Tribolium castaneum: one gene and its partner. The protein of the gene in region 1 purifies or fractionates together with the protein of each later gene. This does not show direct contact. Links are inferred from orthologs where the notes say so. Each region holds a gene or a part of one and is shown on either strand. Other genes may lie near its edges.

Region 1 (5,440 bases):
TAGAGCTGTTTTGATTAGTAGTTGGTTGAGCTTTTGAAAATGAGTGGGGTCTTGACGGTGTTCTTGCTGGTAAGCTCACCCAGATTTATTGATTTCAAGAATTGTATTTAATTGAAAAAAATGCCAATTTCATTTTTGGAATAATAAAATTAACAATTTTCAAGTTAAGCAGGCAATGTTTTAATTTTTTTATTATTATTGACACCATTTTAGTTTTTTTTAAGAAATTCACAAAATTTCAACAATTTCGGTAAAAACTAAAAATTTTTTTAGTTAGATTCAGAATATTTTAAAGAGAAACATTCATTTTTAAAAATCTTGCCAAAAACAAGGCATGATGTTCCAAAAATTTTTCTAGAATTTCACTAAATCCGAGATATTTCTTGATCAAAGCAGAAAATTTGCGAACTTTGTTGTGAAATGCATAGTTTTTTTGCTTGTTTTGCTCGATTCGGAAAAAATACTAGATTTAGAAGATTTTATTCGAATAAAGCACGTAGTTGTAAAATTAGTCTTGAAATGCCTTATTTTCAGCTATTTTGCTCAGTTCTTTCACCAAGAAATTCACATAACAAAAAAATGTAACATTAGAAATAGTTTTGCTTGTTTTATTGCTTACCAAAGAAAAGAATAACTCGAGAAATAAATGTGAAAGTTTTAACTAAAAACTAAACGTAATATTTGTTTTAAAATGCATTAATCTTTACCTGTGTGTGTAAAGCCTTTTGTTTAAATAAAAACAAGAAATCGCAAAATTAGGTTCGAAAAATTCGCCAAGCAACTGAGAAAATTTAGAATTTTTTTTTCAAACAGATGATTTGTAAAGTTTTTAAAACAGAAAAATTCTATTATTCGAATTAATCAATTTTTTATTCGTCATAAACATTACTGTTTTTAAATATTAAATTAAATAAATAAATCAAAACAATTTCAATATTATTGATAAAAAATCATAAAAAAAACATAAAATCATAAAAATTAGGTTTGAACTGCGCAATTTTTGCGACCAAAATTTTTTGGAACGACCTAAATTAGAAAAATTGGCCAAACCAAGGCAAACTATTTAAAATTCTCGTTGAAATGAGTTAGTTGTGTTTGCCTTGTACGATTTTTGAAGTATTTAACAAAGAAAAACTCTACTTTTTCAATGATTTCTTTTTCGTATCTGTTCCTAATGGATAATTTTTTCTACTTTCGTACGAATTTAGGGTATTTTTTAACCCCGAAGTTCAATTAATTAGAACAATTTCAGTAAAAACAAAGCAGATAATTTATAAAAAAATATTTGAAATACATTGTATTTACGTCTGTTTTGCTAAATTTTAAAGTTTTTAAAATTACAAAGTAGGTTCGACATTTTTGCCTATTTCACTCGATTTAGAAAAAAACAGAGCAGAAAAAATTAGAGTCTTCTTTGTAGCGAGATTTTTAAAGTATTTAAAGCTGAAAACTTTTCAATTTTTCAAATAAAAAAGACAATATTTTTCGATTTTTCATTCACTTACCTTTTAACTTTTTTAACTTTTAAAAGGTGAAAGTTTATGTAATTTTTTATATTTATTTTTTTAATTTATGTTAGAAGGCACTGTTTTTATACAATCCTATTAAGAAAATCTTTGAGCAAGAAACAGTAGCGTATCTAATTCTTTTGCGATTTTTTAAATTTATTTTTTTAATTTGTTAAAAGGCACAGTTTTTATACTTAAAAAATTAATAGCTTGTCTGTTTTGGTCGATTTTATAGTTTTTCACAAAAAATAAAATCACAAAAGTAGGTTTGAACTGCGATATTTTTGCACACTTCACTCGATTTAGAAATTTTTTAATACAGAAACTTACCAAATACGAGAAATTTCGCCAAACAAAAGCAGATAATGCGTAAAATTTGCTTTAAAGTGCGTTACTTTTGTTTGTTTTACTCGATTTTTGAAAAATTTTAGCGGAGAACTCACTAATTTTAATAATATAAAATTTTCTCAAATTCTGTAGCTTTCTAATATCTTTTGTATTCTTTTAAGATAATTTCTGAGCAAGAAAAATAGCATAATCTAATTGTTTTGCGATTTTTTTAATTTTCATTTTTTTAACGAATTAATAATAATAATAACAATATTAATAAAAAAGGGCTTTTATTAAATAATTAAAAAACAATACGCAGATGAGGAAGCGAAGTCTAGCTTGGAGCTATTCAACGTAACTTCGAAAGAAAAATAATAGAAAATAAAATAATAATAATAATAAAAATAAAAAAGTTAAATAAAAAAATATTTTTTTACAGCTTGCAGCTCTGTCAAACACCCTTTCTTACCCCACCTCCCACCCCTTACCCGACCGCGTTTTCACCCCCACCACCACCCCCAACAAAACCGTCTCCGACCTCGTCCAACGCCAAACCGACACAATAAAACAAATTATTTCAAACCACAATCGTGACTATCCCATCATTACCAAATACCCTGCTGATGACAAACAAAAAAAACCCGAAACGTCATTAGAAGACCTCAAAATCAAATGCCAACACTTGGCCCGTCTCGCCACCACGCCACCGCCCCGTAACACCACCCCCAGCGGCCATTACATCACCGCCGACGGTGTCACCATCCCCAAAGCCGCCCCCGTTAAATACATCAAACTCGAGCCTGTTATTTTACAAAAGACGATAATGAGCGACGGACGCACGGTTTACTATTGGCATAAAAGTATCCCGAGTCAGATTGCTCCCGCCCCCACAACGACGCCGCCCCCGACGACAAGCGCCGTCCCCGGTGGTTATAATTTTCGTAATTTTTTTCCGTCGTTTTACCCGATTGGAGGCTCTGAATCGGTTAGTCAGACTACAACAGAGAAAACGACAACCACGGAAAAACCGCCCCCAGAAGAAGGGGTGCACTTGTACCAACAACAATTGAAATTTGTGGTTCCGGTGCCGTATTCACCACCGGAAGAACAAACAGTGAGGAAACCGTGGGATTTTGACCAGTTTGCCTATTATCCGAAACCGCTTCAACCGGAAAATGTTAATTTGCAAGTGCCTTATGTGCCCACCTTTCATGTGATCAAGGCAGTGGCAATCCCTGATCAATATGAAGGGGGCGAAGACGTCTGATCAACTGATTTGGTCACAACTTTTTAATTAAAAAGACTGATTATTGTAATGTATATTTTTTAATTCATTATTTTATTGGCTTAAAAATTATGTATGTTACTCGTGTTCTTATAGGTTTAGAGTTTAAAAAAGTATACTATATCTGATTTTTTTATTATTATTATGTAGTGGGGTCGGTTTCGTGCAATTAAATGTACAAAAAATTGTCTTTCGAATAAAGTTTTTTTGAACTTACCATAGTCATTCTTTTGACGGCCTCCTCGCTGATTGGATAACTCAATTTGACGCGTCGATAAAGTGGGTGATTTTCGTAATAGTTGATTAATTCGACTAAACTTTCGAATTCGACGTTGCCAATGGTGTAGAGACGACCTTCCAGTTTGATTCGACAGTGTTTGATTTTTTTATCCGCTCTGAAATATTTTTTTTTGCTATATTTTACGAAGAAACTTCGCCAGTTCACAAAAACAAAGCGGAAAATTTAGTTATCAAAATCACTAAAATCCCAAAAATCTCGTAAAATTAATGAAAGAGATTGTAAAATTCCGTCTAAAATAATTTTTTACAAGAAATGAAGACAGAAAAATGAATAAGTTGAAATGGTTTTTCATTCATAAAGTTAAATGAATTTCAGACACTTCGCCAAAATAAAAATAAAATCGCAAAATTCGTTTTAAAATGCATTAATTTCGCTCGTTTAATTTTCAACTTTGTTAAACCGTTTTTCTTTGAGAAACTCAATAAATTTTGACAAAAAAACGGACAAAAAATGAGTTATTTTTGTGAGTTTTGTTCGATTTGGTCAATTTTTTACCAAAAAAAAACATTTTATCCAAAAACAAGCATAAATTTAGTCTTTTTCTCTTGATTTAAATGGTGTTTCATTGATAAAGTTAAATAAATTTCAGACACTTCGCCAAAATAAGAAATAAAATCGCGCTAAATTCGTTAATTTCGCTCGTTTAATTTCCAATTTCGTTAAAGCATTTTTTCGAAAAACTTATTGAATTTTGTTTTGTTCGATTTGGTCAGTTTTTTATTGAAAAAATCTAATTAACTCAAAACTTTTTATCCAAAAACAAGCACAAATTTAGTCTTTTTCGCTCGATTTAAATAGTTTTTCATTGATAAAGCTAAATAAATTTCAGACACTTCGCCAAAATAAGAAATAAAATCGCAAAACTTTACGCTTTATTACAGCGTTTTTCGTCAAGATACTCATTGAACATTGACAAAAAAAATAGGACAGAAAAATGTGTTATTTTTGCGTTCTTTTTTTCAATTTCAACAAGACTAAAAATTGTTAAGTTTACACTATACACTAAATATGTAATTTTTTTTTGCTCGGTTTCCATGTTTTTCATTAATACATTCGTTACAACTTTCTCAAAACAAGCCTAAAATGTTTACTTCGTTTGGTCTGCATGTTTTGCTCTAAAAAACTAACTGAATTCAAGAGATTTTATTAAAAAAGTGTACAAAATTTCTAACAATTTTTTTTTTTTGGCCATAGTTTCTCTCAATGGAGCATTTTTATAGAGATGATTTTACTACAATGCTAAAAAACCTTCACAATAAATTATTTTTGCCCGTTTTTTGGCGACAAATTAAATTCCAAAAGTTTCCATTAAAAACAAGGTCGAAAATTTGAAAAGTTGGGTCTGAAATTGGTTTCGTTGGTATAAAGTATTTTTTACAAAGATAGGGAAAAAACTCGTAAAACTTGCGTTGAAAACATTTTTCACCGAGAAACTCGTCAAAAAATCTTGTTTTTTTTTGGCCAATTTCTCCTAATTACAGTATTTTTATCGAGATCATTGCATTAAACTTTGCTTAAAAACCTTCACAATATATTACTTTTGCCCGTTTTTTGGCGACAAATTAAATAAATTCCAAAAGATTTTATCTAAAACAAGGTCGAAAATTTGAAAAGTTAGGTCTGAAATTGGTTTCGTTGGTTTCACTCGAGGATTTTTTACAAAGTTATTTAATAAATTTGAAAAACTTCGGTAAGAATAGGCAAAAAAAACTCGAAAACTTGCCTTGAAAACATTTTTCACCAACAAACTCGTCGAAAAATCTTATTTTTTTGGCCAGTTTCTCCTAATTACAGTATTTTCATCGAGATGATTGTATTAAAAAAACTTTGCTTAAAAACCCTCACAATATATTATTTTTGCCCGTTTTTTGGCGACAAATTAAATAAATTCCGAAAGATTTTATCAAAAACAAGGTTGAAAATTTGAAAAGTTGGGTCTGAAATTGGTTTCGTTGGCTTCACTCGAGTATTTTTTACAAAGTTATTCAATAAATTTGAAAAAACTCGGTAAAAATA
Region 2 (5,033 bases), on another chromosome or scaffold:
TGTAATCCAATGGATTTTGGACAAAACTTTGATAAAACAAAAATTTTAAATCTATTTTTCACTTTCAAAATTGAGATATTACCAACTGTCACAAAAATCTCTAGATTGACAAAAATAACAATTTTTGTTTAAAAACGGCAAAAAGGGGGCAACTACAAAAAATAGTATAAAAAACTCAATTCATAAGACTTTGAAGCAATCATTCTTTCAAAAAACTCATGACTGAGGCCACTGGTTGAATTCGTGCTTTAAGACTGCTCTTATGAAATTTGTTTATTAATATACTATTACTTCCCAAAAGTGGTATTCACTATAATATCCAAAATTTTCTTAATTCTCTAAAGCATTTTTAACCAATGAACTGTCGTCTATGGTGCAGTTAGTGCATTTAATATCGTCTTCGGTTTTCCATGAGTCCTTAACTTTCTTTTTTTTAATTTAAAAATAACATTTTATTTTTAAATTAAATTAAAAAACATACTCAGTTGGTCATAATCATAACACGAAATAATATATTTAATGTCTTTCTCTATTAAAAAATTATGATAACAACAATGAATTATGAAAATGACAAGTCTCATCTAAGTATTCAATGTTGCCAAATTAATTTCAAAATCACAGTCCAACGTGTAAAGCTTAAAAACTTTGGGTAAAGCTCAAATACTCGTACATTTTTGTCCTAATAACATCGCTATTCTCTCTTATCGTCGCAGTTTGTCTTGCACCCAAGATAAACTATACAGGGTGTCTCAACATTGGCGAATTCCAAGTTCAGAGCATTGTAGAGAATCATTTCAGTAGTCCAAATATAGAAAAAAAAGATTCAGGGCTTCCCACAAAGATACATTGGTGTGAAGATCACTTTTGTATCGCTTTTTCTTCAAATGCAAGCTAAAAGTTTCAGAGTTTATTATTATTTAAGAATATGATTTCAATTTATTATTTATGTTGATTGTGGAGAATAATAATGTAAAACAACTCAAAAAATTTGCTTTTTTCAAAGTAAAAAAATTTTAAATTTTTGTAATCTGCGGTTTCACTTTTAAGAAAAATTACAAAATTTTTTACTTCATTTTTACTTTTTACTTCAAAATAAAGCTAATTTTTCAAGAAATTGTTTTACATTATTATTTTTCACAATCATCTACACCATAAATAAGAATAAACACTGAAATTTTTAGCCTGCTGTAGAAGAAAACGCTATTTAAAGGGCACTTGAAGTGAAACTTTAAATAATTGTATCCTTGTAGGGAAACCCCGAATCTGTATTTTGTAATTTATACTTTCAATGAGAGATCTAATTATTAATAACTATTTTACAACTTTATCAATCTTTTTTCAAAAAATAATTTGGTAAAATGCGATGTTGGCGTTTTTATAGTTTTGAAACAGCTGATATATTTGGACTACTAAAGTGATTCTCTACAACACTGAAGTTGAATTCTCTTAACTTAACTTAACAAAAGAAAGATAAAAAAAAGCTTAATTAAAGTGTAAGTAAAACACAGTGTTTAAAGTTGAATAACTTGAAAAAATTACATTGAATAAAGAAACATTTTTGTTTATTAGTTGAAGACAATGGAAAAATGGTTCAAAATATTTTCTCAAAAAATGAATCTTCAATGTTAGAGCTGAGCCACCCTGTACAGGGTGATGCATTTTGGATATCCAAATAGGAGATCTCCGAAACTGAAAGGTTTTGGAGAAAAACGAGTGACACATTCTCAGATCCGTTGTTTGACAAAATAATTTTTGTCAAACCCGCATCCCGCTACCGTCTTTTGTTTGCAACAAAAGTTGACATTTTAGCGAAATCTTAAAAAATTCATATCTTCCTTATTATAAAAAATACACATTTGAAACAAAGATATAATAATTATAATAATCATAAATAATTAATCATTAATAATAAATAATTATTAATAATAAATACTAATTAATTCAAAAACAGCAAAATAAATTATTATTTGAATTTTTGCGATGAATAAAAATTATTTGTTTTTAGATTTAAAATGGCAACCTTACATTGTCATTCTATTTTCTAATTAAACATGAAATGTCGGAAAAAGAAAAATCTTATTAATTGTATGATTGCTTGACAATAAAATTTTATTTTACAAAAAATGTCAATCCAAACACCAAAATCAAATCCTATCTGCGTCACCTCCATTGCACTTCACTAAATTATAATCAAGTGTCATCAAATGGTAGTGACACATCGTTTTAAATTTTCTGCACATTTTTTATGTAATTAAAATCTGCGACGATATTTGTTCAATTGAAAATAATTTTAACATAGCTTATTTTGATAATTTTACATTTATTACTTTAATAACCGTTCACAAAATTTCTAGATTATTCACACCTTTTCTGTGAAATAACTTTTCCATGGCCAACTACGTTCAAATATTTTGATTACATTTTTTAGCAAAAGTATATAAAAATATAAAACTGTATTTATATTGTTCAGAAAAAATAAGCTTTTCGAAAATGTCATAGCCAACTATGATTCCTATTTAAAAAAAATACAACTTTATGTAATTATAGCTAAACGAATGAAAAAAATCTACTGATAACATTATTATATTATCTGTAAAAAATGCTTGTATAATGTCTTTGTTTCAAATATGTATCTTTTGTAATAAGGAATTCGTTTATAAGTAGAAAACAAAAGACGATAGGAGAATGCGGTTTTGACCAAAATTATTTTCTCAAAAAAATGGACCCAAGGACGTATCACTCGTTTTTCTCTAAACCTTTTAGTTTTGGACATCCCCTATTTGGACATCCAAAATGCAGCACCCTGTATAATAATGATTAATGAATCAATTACTTCCAGGTCACCTATTGTCTCAAATGTCAACACAATAATAACCAGCAATTAAAAATAATTGTTCGTTTGCGATTTCGCCAAATTGCTCAATTTCCATCCATCTATTATCATTTTCCACACACTCTTATCACAACCAACTGACCTTTTTATCATTGACTGGCTCCGGAGGTGGCACCGGATGCACCAACCGTTCCCTCTTCAACAAATCACTCCTCTCCGTATAATACCCAACCAGATCATTCAAAGACACAAACTGTCTTCCCCCAATGTAAAAATCGCCACAAACGGCCGTAATCCGAAAATGGTTCATTCCCGTGCGCCCCAAAAACGACAACACATACGAGCCCGGCTTCCGGTCACTCTCCCGCACCAGATAGCTCCCCAATTTGTTCGAAATCCAGAGGCGCTCCTCGGCCTGGTACCGGTCCAGCCGTCCGTGGTACCACAGCGTCTCCGAGGGGGCGAACGGCGCCGAGTCCCCCAGGTCGGTCTCGTCGGGCTCTGCCTTGGGGGCCCCCTGCGTGTCCTGCTCGTTGCCATCCTCGCTTCCGGTGCTCGGCGAACCCAGCTTATCTTTCATCACAGCCCCATGTCCGCTTCCTGCACGTATCAAATCGGCCATTTCGACACTTTAAACCATAACCACGCTCGGAAATGACGCGCTGCACCACCTAACCTGTGGCCGATCTCATGAATGGTTTATTGATGTCTCGCGAACCGTTTATTTGATTCTGTGAGGGGAACGAACACACGAAATTATTTTGACAAATTCCGATGAGTGACTCAGGAAGGCGGCGCTGCCAAGTGGGGACACAACCTGACAATGGATGGAAATTGGCCATTGAAGTAACAAATATAGAGCTTTCCAATCATAGAATAAGAGAGAGGAAGAAGCGAATTTCTCTGTCTATCCCTCGTTTTTACCGAAAGCGCTACCTAACATGTAGTAAACGAACTAACTCGACAATAGCAGAAAATTCAGGACATTTTATTCATGTTCCATATTTAAGAGAATATTAATGTTAAATTAATGTTTTTGTACCCATGGACTGTTATGAGACATTTTAATAATAATAATAATAATAATAATAATAATAATAATAATAATAATAATAATAATAATAATAATAATAATAATAATAATAATAATAATAATAATAATAATAATAATAATAATAATAATAATAATAATAATAATAATAATAATAATAATAATAATAATAATAATAATAATAATAATAATAATAATAATAATAATAATAATAATAATAATAATAATAATAATAATAATAATAATAATAATAATAATAATAATAATAATAATAATAATAATAATAATAATAATAATAATAATAATAATAATAATAATAATAATAATAATAATAATAATAATAATAATAATAATAATAATAATAATAATAATAATAATAATAATAATAATAATAATAATAATAATAATAATAATAATAATAATAATAATAATAATAATAATAATAATAATAATAATAATAATAATAATAATAATAATAATAATAATAATAATAATAATAATAATAATAATAATAATAATAATAATAATAATAATAATAATAATAATAATAATAATAATAATAATAATAATAATAATAATAATAATAATAATAATAATAATAATAATAATAATAATAATAATAATAATAATAATAATAATAATAATAATAATAATAATAATAATAATAATAATAATAATAATAATAATAATAATAATAATAATAATAATAATAATAATAATAATAATAATAATAATAATAATAATAATAATAATAATAATAATAATAATAATAATAATAATAATAATAATAATAATAATAATAATAATAATAATAATAATAATAATAATAATAATAATAATAATAATAATAATAATAATAATAATAATAATAATAATAATAATAATAATAATAATAATAATAATAATAATAATAATAATAATAATAATAATAATAATAATAATAATAATAATAATAATAATAATAATAATAATAATAATAATAATAATAATAATAATAATAATAATAATAATAATATAATAATAATAATAATAATAATAATAATAATAATAATAATAATAATAATAATAATAATAATAATAATAATAATAATAATAATAATAATAATAATAATAATAATAATAATAATAATAATAATAATAATAATAATA

The links. Proteins that work in one complex are often made in the same cells at the same time.
Region 2: the proteins of sl (region 1) and vap purify together in Homo sapiens (affinity purification with western blotting; 3 studies listed by BioGRID and IntAct, with this or other methods). This does not show direct contact. The link is inferred for Tribolium castaneum from reciprocal best matches to the Homo sapiens genes PLCG1 and RASA1.

The regions. Positions count from the first base shown.
Region 1 is NC_087394.1:2,081,244-2,086,683, reverse strand, and holds part of sl (1-phosphatidylinositol 4,5-bisphosphate phosphodiesterase gamma-1), read right to left. Parts: intron 3,519-5,440; coding exon 3,341-3,518; intron 3,335-3,340; exon of another isoform or gene 3,106-3,334; coding exon of another isoform or gene 2,278-3,105; intron 70-2,277; coding exon of another isoform or gene 40-69; exon of another isoform or gene 1-39. Other genes in the region: uncharacterized protein LOC135266330, read left to right, coding at 40-69, 2,278-3,105. UniProt on the Homo sapiens protein: Mediates the production of the second messenger molecules diacylglycerol (DAG) and inositol 1,4,5-trisphosphate (IP3). Plays an important role in the regulation of intracellular signaling cascades.
Region 2 is NC_087400.1:10,161,610-10,166,642, reverse strand, and holds the start of vap (ras GTPase-activating protein 1), read right to left. Parts: upstream 3,655-5,033; 5' UTR 3,456-3,654; coding exon 2,976-3,455; intron 1-2,975. UniProt on the Homo sapiens protein: Inhibitory regulator of the Ras-cyclic AMP pathway. Stimulates the GTPase of normal but not oncogenic Ras p21; this stimulation may be further increased in the presence of NCK1.